2 linked regions of the Coturnix japonica genome follow. The protein of the gene in region 1 binds, or shares a complex with, the protein of each later gene. Links are inferred from orthologs where the notes say so. Each region holds a gene or a part of one and is shown on either strand. Other genes may lie near its edges.

Region 1 (3,744 bases):
CTCCGTACATACGGAAAATCTAAAGAATTCAAGAGATCAGTATGTATTTTTCCTCACTCTAATATACAACATCAAAACACCACTTAAGCAATAATTTGACTACTTAAGGAATATTTTAGGTATAGGATCTAGAAATGTTTACATGAATCCTCAGCTTTTGGTAAGCAAAAATTATATACTGCATTCCAGAGAAGTGCTTGAAAATTTAAACCTGATTGGAATTAGGACTTTGTGCCTTTAAATATCCAGAGACAAGTCATGTGCTTTCCTTGGACATGCTCTCTCTCTCTCTATATATATATAATGTATATATATACAATACATATACACACACACACATATATAATACATTATATATATATATAATTTTAAATAAAGCTTCTACAAAACAATTTCTAATTGTGACTTCCTTTGTAAAATAATCTCTGTCAAAAATATATATATCCTTCAAACAGGGTGGAAACACAATAAAAAATGACGATGTAAGTATTAGGAAGATTCTACTCCTATTCCCCCCCAAGAAACAGCAGCCAGGCACAATACCGACTATTGAAGATTTGTATCACAGGGACTAGTGAGATTCCTGCCAGCTGACACTGCTGCCCATCCCATCTGAGTGGGTTTCACCACCCAGCTTCTAGAATGAGACAAAGTAACACAGTGCTTTTACAGTGTAGCTCCAGCTCCCATTCTAAGGCAGCCCAAAACAAAACATTGTTGCTGACCGTAGCAGTAAGTAGTAAAATTAAACTTCAAGAAATCAAAGCTTCTGGAATAAGAGACAGACTGCATACCATAAGGTAACTATGTCTCTGCTACAGCACCAGAGGCATTATTGCAACAGACTCATATAGACAAGAATTAAACCTGTCACTGTTCTCTCCAGTGGGGATGAGGGAGGTAAGTTTTGTCTGGATATATCCTTCCCCTCCCGCCTTTTACTTAAGGCCAAAACATATTAAGAATAATGCCATACTTCCTACTTCTGTGCTTTCAGCTCCAGATGGGCTGGAACCCTGATCCATGCAAACAGAACAGTCACATGATTTCCTCCCTGCCTGTTCAAAAGAAATGGAAGTTAAACTATCCATATATATATGTGTATATATATATGGATATATATATATATTAAATCATATAGCTTCATGTAGAACTAAGCCTAAAATTAAAGTGGGAAGAAAGTAAGCAAAGTTCATTTTAAAACTTTATTTACTCTAATGCAGGAACACTAAGATAGAAGAAATCAAAAGATAAATTTCTATTCCACTCTGCCCAATTGCCTTGGCCTTGCCTCATTAGTTGGGCTGAAGCGCATCAAAACTGAACTCATATCAGGCAAAGACCAGATGATTTCTTAAGAAGAAATAAGATTTGTTAAGGCTGTGTAACTGGTCAGTCTCATTTCCCCAGAAAAGATTTCCCAACAAAGATGTAGCTTAAACATTACATTCGTAGTTATGCATTAGAAGTGCTCAGTGCGTAAAACTGAGCTATGGAAACTTGAAATGGGATTAGGCCTAAAGGACAACCAACGCTGTCTCAAGCACACATGGCTAACAAGGAATATATTTGTCACTATCCAGTTCGCCCTCATTGACAATTACATAAAGCAACAGAAGAATGTGTCTTCTGCACAAAGCAAGTTCTCAGGGAAATGCCTTTATAAAGAGAATCATGCCTCTGAGGAAGAAACAGGAGACAAACACTGGCAACTGGCCCACCACAATATGGCAATGACTAAATTACAGGTCTTAACTTTTACGGAGCTTCTCTTTGGTGTATATTCCTCCTTTCTATTAACAGCATTCGTGTGAAACCCTGGGCTCACAGCAAGGGGCCTGCAGGGCAATGCCTGCAGAGAAATCGCCCCACCACACCGCTCCCAGCTTCTGCTTTGCTCATTCCTCAGGGAAGGTCAGAATACATGGGGGGTACTTAATGCCGCAGCTGACGTGCCCGGTTTTAGCATTAAGCTCTGATATAGACACAGTGCCTCGCGTTTCACGCCTGACAGAGCGAAACCCTCCACTTCCCCCACAGCTTCACCGAGCACCCACTTCTCAGGCAGCAGCAGCAAGTCACTCGACAGGAAAGTCAGCGATAACGCCGGGCCCCAGGCCCAGGCTCTATTTGCACAGGCGATTTGCTGCCTCCCTGCCTGCAGCCAGCACACCTTGTTGTCCTCACACCTTCAGCACCACGAGCACCCTGATGAAGCACAGGTCAGCTACCTACGCTCAGACTTCACTTAAGCCACTACAGAACAACTGGCTCGAGTCCCCGAATCCTCCCCTCGGAGCAGAAAGCCAGGGGGATGTTATTGCGGAAGGGGCACGACCGGCCGCACCCAGCCACCCCGGGGCCGGGCAGCCTCCACCCGACCGCGGGTGGAGGAGCGGGGCACCGCTCCCCTGCTTACAGCCGCCCCGCTCAGCCCCAGGCCCAGGCGGTGGCCGCAAGCTCCCGCACAGCACCGAGGCCCCGATCCGCCGCCCTCTGACAGCCCCTGCTCGGCCACCGCCCCGTCCGCCCCTTCCTCCTCCAGCCACCCGAGCGTGGAAGCGAGAAAGAGGAGACCGTCCCGACCCGCTCCCGCTGCACTTACCCGGTTCCGCCGTACCTCCTCGCACCGGGCGCGGTGGAGGGGATGACAGGGAAGCCGGCTTCCCGAGGGAGGGCCGGGGCCTGACCGCCCGGCACCGCCCCGTCCTGTCATGGGGCGGGAGCCGCCGTGACGGCGGAGGCGTGGGGAGGAGCGGCCGTGGGGCTGGGCCGGGCCGGGCCGTGATGGGCGGAGAACGACTGCGGGCCCGGAGCCGCGGGCAGGGGGCGCTGCCGGGTGGGAGGGCTCGGGGTGTCCGGGAGTGGGATTCGGGATTCAGAGTCGTAAAGGTTGGAGAGACTGCTGAGACCAATAGCCCACCGGCTCTGTACCGCTAAACCACTTCACTCAGTACCACATCCACGTGGTCCTTGAACACCTCCAGGGATGGTGACTCAACCACCTCACTGGGCAGCCTGTTCCTATGCATCACCACTCGTTCTAAGAAGTGTTTACTTATATCAAACCTGAGCCTCCTCTGGCACAACTTAAATACATTGCCTCTTGTCCTATTGCTTGTTACTTGGGAGAACCTGGCATTTATTGCCTCCGTAGTTGTATGTTAGTGGAGAAAAAAGCATTTAAGAATAGAATATCAGGAAAAGATGCTGTGGTCAGGTGTTAGAGGAAAATGTACGTAGCGAAATTACAGAACAATGGAATACAGTGCCATTATATTAACATCCTTTATGACCTTCAGTTTTGGTCATCATCTCCAAATGGGAGTGGAAACTTATAAGTACATTGAAAGAATGGGAGATAAATATATTAAATATATGAATATAAATATACATAAATATATTTAAAGAAGTCTGGAAAAAAGTTGAATGAGGAGTGGCTGACAGTATTGAGACTGTTTAGACTGGAGAAGTGGAGGCTCAGGGGAGATGTTATCACTCCCTACAACAAAAGAAGAAAGAAGATTGTAGCAAGGTGGGAGTTGGTTGCTTCTCCCACTTAACAGAAATAGGATGAGAGGTGACAGCCTTAAGTTGCACCAGGGGAAGTTCAGGATGGATATTAGGAAACATTTCTTCTCAGAAAGTGAGGTGAGATATTAGAACAGGCTGCCCAGGGGGGTGGTTGTAGTCCCCATCCCCAGAGATGTTCAATAAACATGTAGATGTAGCATTTAGGGACGT
Region 2 (3,744 bases), on another chromosome or scaffold:
GAAAAGATTCCGTATTTCATATCCCCTTGACTTCCAGGGCCCAGTCCCAAATCTGTGCTTCTCATCTCCCTCTGGAACATGGAGAGGTCCCTTCTGTATGCCCGGATTTTGCTCATCATTTGATTGCGGAATGGTAGAGGAGCATACTTCAGTTCTTCTTCCATTTCCCGGAGCTTAAAGAAAAGAACACTTATTTTAAAGCATCACATTCATTCTTATAAACAGCTGTACCCAGAACTTACACTAGATGAAGGGATTCACATATTATGTTCACATAAGAACATTAAAGTAAAACTTGGGATACTGTCCTTTCTAGGGCAATCAACATATTAAGTGGCCAGAAAGGCCACAATTCCAGGCTTAAACTTACCGTTTCATTTGCTTCACGCTGCTTCTCATCAAACTCCCGAATCAGCTTTTTCTTCTCCTCTGCACAAGAAAGAGCAACACGTGAGATAAACCCCAACAAAACTAAAGCAGAACTTGAAATCCTGATTTCCAGCAAATCGGGTTTTTGCATCCTAGCAGTTCACTAAAAACAACCACTCAAATAAGACAAGCACCCTGCAGAGCTCTGAGATGGAAGACACCATCAATACACCAGATCAGGTTGTCCAAATACTTCTCTTTTCTGGAACCACACTGGATGTTAGATCAAAACACCTAAAACCAGCTCATCTTATGGATGTGCCGTGGCCACACCAGGGCCCTTCCCTTTCAGTTCAAATCCCCATTAAGCCCCTGAGTTTGACTTGTAGTGCACTTAAGATAGATAAGTTTAAACATAAGTTTAGCGCTGCAGGAAATGCTGATTTATGGGGTTCCTACATTGACTATCCTCAGCTCCTCCCCTGCTTTTCTGCCACGTACATTTGTGCTGATTCAACTGCTTGAACAGCCAGGCTGCTAGCAAGGACACGGGCACACACAGCAAGGAAACAACTTTCTAAAGTCACCATTCTGCTCACGCAGGACACTCCACTCCTTTGGTGAATGTAGTGCCCTCTTAGAACAACTGCTGCTGTCTCGAACCCATTGAAACCCGAAGCAGTGCTGAAAAAGCAGTATTTTACCCTCTTTGGGTGCCCACAATTGGATCAGTACAGCACTGCACTTCAGCCACAGAAACATTACCCACATGTTTCTCAGCATCTGTGAGATCTCATTTAAACCAACCGAAAAACAATCAGTTGAAAAAGGCAGTTAACTGTTTACTCAGAGAATGGGATCTATAGCAGAAACTGATCAATGCCATTTAAAATGCTTTCTTATAGGTTTGGAAGGAAGAAAACACTTGCTTCCAGACCTGAGAATTTATTAGCTTGTAAGATAACATTTCCACATGGAAGATGGTCCAACAATGACACATTTTGTCCTCCCTGCAGTCTGGGAAGTTACCAATCATCTCAAAGGAGTACACAGGACACCATCTGTTGTCCCACAGACTTTTCATGACAGTGTGAAAAATGAAGACCCATGTGGGCATGGACAGCAAAGAATGCCTTACAAATGCCTTCAAAAGAGAGATAAATTCCTGACTTCACATGAACTCCCTTGTTATACTTCCTTGGGAATATCACAGATCTGGGGACCTGGCAATAGTTTACTTTTGTCCACAAAACTGACAACCCTCCTTTCTGCAAGGAAATTTCTGTTCTTTGAAATTCAAGCGTTGTGGGGCATTTTTCAATATGTGTGAGCACGGTCTCTCCCCATTCTTTCCCCAGCAACAGGGTTGAGTTTGTATTTCAAGGCAGCAAAATAACCCTCACCCTACCCTGCAACCTCCTCCCATTAATTGTATAGAAACGATGCCCAGATTCCAGGGCCCTTCTTCACAAAGGGGCATCCCTTCCTTTATGCTTTTCCTTCTTGGTGACTGTCAATAAAACAAAGGCAGCTTTGAATCACAGAACTGCAGGGTTTGGAAAGGACCCCAGGGGATCACCCTGTCCAACCCACTGTTAAAGCCAGTTCCCTGCAGGTCACCAAGGAAAGCATCCAGGAGGGTCCTGAATATCACTGGAGGAGACTCCACAGCTTCTGTGAGCAGCCTGCTCTGCCTTCTGGCCTTGAAAGCTGCGGCCCATAGTTTTAAGTGCCTCCCACTGTACTTTCTGGAAACGAATAGGATGGTGACCCTGCATTTAACCCGGTATTAGACTGAACCGGGCAGCCCGGACACCGCACCCCTCACACCCAGCCGGTGCTTCCCCGCCTCCGCGCCCACTTCCCGTTCTCCGCTACGCCACAGCCGAGCGCTGTGCGCCGGGAGCGGAGCCAAACGAGCCCCTCGGCTCGGGCAGCGCCGGGCCGGACCGCGGGGCCTCGCCGCGCTGCGGGAGAAACCTCCGCGAACCCGACGAAAGCGCCGAGCCGGATCCGCCCCGCCTCACCCGCCGCGCCGCCCCGCAGCCGCTCCGGCACGGCGCGCAGCTCCCCGTGCAGCCCGCGGAAGATCTCGTGCAGCCGCTCCAGGTGCTCGGAGGACGCGGGGCCGCGCTCCGCCATGGCGATGGGCCGTACGGGGCACTGCCCGGCGCCGCTTCCGCCATCGGCCGCGAGGACCCGCGCCTGCGCAATGAGACGCCCCGCGCTGCCTGACCGCGGCACCGGGGCAGCCCAGGCGGAGCGGGGTCCTGGCGGCGCGCTGCCCGCTGGGAGCCGTAGTCGCAGCGCCGCCTCGTGGTGCTCCGCCCCGCCCCGCCCTGCACCGCCCATTGCTCCCATTGGGGCGGGGCGGCTCCTCCGGGCGCGATCAGTGCGGGGCGGACGCGGCGCGGATGGAGCCGTCGGCGATGCTGAGCTGCTGGGGCGCGGTGCTGGGCGCCGCCGTGTCCGTGCCCCTCGTGCTGCTGGCGGCGGCGCCCTACGTCAGGTGCGGGGCTGTGGGGCGCCTCGGGGGGCTCCGTGCCGCCGGGCTAAGCGGCTCCTTTCTGGGGGTTGGAGACATACAAAGGGCTTTCGGGCAGCGCTGTTACGGCGGTGTGCGGTTGGCGGCAGCCGGCTCGAGCCGCTCCCGCGGGGGGTCCGGCTCAGCCGAGCACGGGGCGGTGGGAGCCGGTGGCCCGGGTTCGCCCCACGGCGCCGCGCCGACTCCATTGGCCGCCGCGCCGGGAGCCGCGCTGTCAGCCAATGGCAGCCGTGGCCCCACCGGAGCGGGCGGAGCGGGCGGAGCGGGGTGTCGCGGTGCCCGGTCCGATGTCGGGCTCGGAGCCGCCGTCGAGTCCCGCCGCTCTCTTGCAGGCGGTACGTGGCCGGAGGGCGCTGCGGGTCCGCGGCCAGGCTGGACGGGAAGGTGGCGGTGATCACGGGCGCCAACACCGGCATCGGCAAAGAGACCGCCAGGGAGCTCGCCCGGAGAGGCAAGTCGGCGTCACGCTGCGAGCGGGTGCGGCTGATGCGATCCGGCACCACGCGTCGTGGTCTGCAGCCTGGGGCCGTGTTTCTAAGAGCCACATTCTGAAGGTCCTTCAGACAGGGCTGTAACCCCTGAGGTGCAGTTCCCCAGTTCCCAGCTGCATTCACTGCTTGAACCCTGACCCCGTGTCTCAGCGTGTAGAAATACTCAGCGCTGTGGCCACCTCGGGAGGACCAAGGAAGTGCCTGGAGTCACAGGGCTCTACCTTGTTTGGGGATGGGAAATGGCTCAGATCCGCTCATGGTTCAAAACTGGCTTAAATGTTTTTTGGTAACTAGCAGGGCAGTGAAAGTACCCAGCAATGGCTCTGGCTGGAGTCCAAG

The links. Proteins that work in one complex are often made in the same cells at the same time.
Region 2: STX7 (region 1) and VTI1B share a complex: the UniProt entries of both Homo sapiens proteins name them as parts of the SNARE complex. The link is inferred for Coturnix japonica from reciprocal best matches to the Homo sapiens genes STX7 and VTI1B.

What each region holds. Positions count from the first base shown.
Region 1 is NC_029518.1:51,525,046-51,528,789, reverse strand, and holds the start of STX7 (syntaxin-7), read right to left. Parts: upstream 2,738-3,744; 5' UTR 2,606-2,737; intron 1-2,605. UniProt on the Homo sapiens protein: May be involved in protein trafficking from the plasma membrane to the early endosome (EE) as well as in homotypic fusion of endocytic organelles. Mediates the endocytic trafficking from early endosomes to late endosomes and lysosomes.
Region 2 is NC_029520.1:27,589,219-27,592,962, reverse strand, and holds the start of VTI1B (vesicle transport through interaction with t-SNAREs homolog 1B), read right to left. Parts: upstream 2,737-3,744; 5' UTR 2,731-2,736; coding exon 2,397-2,730; intron 430-2,396; coding exon 371-429; intron 174-370; coding exon 1-173. Other genes in the region: retinol dehydrogenase 12, read left to right, coding at 2,784-2,878, 3,247-3,365. UniProt on the Homo sapiens protein: V-SNARE that mediates vesicle transport pathways through interactions with t-SNAREs on the target membrane. These interactions are proposed to mediate aspects of the specificity of vesicle trafficking and to promote fusion of the lipid bilayers.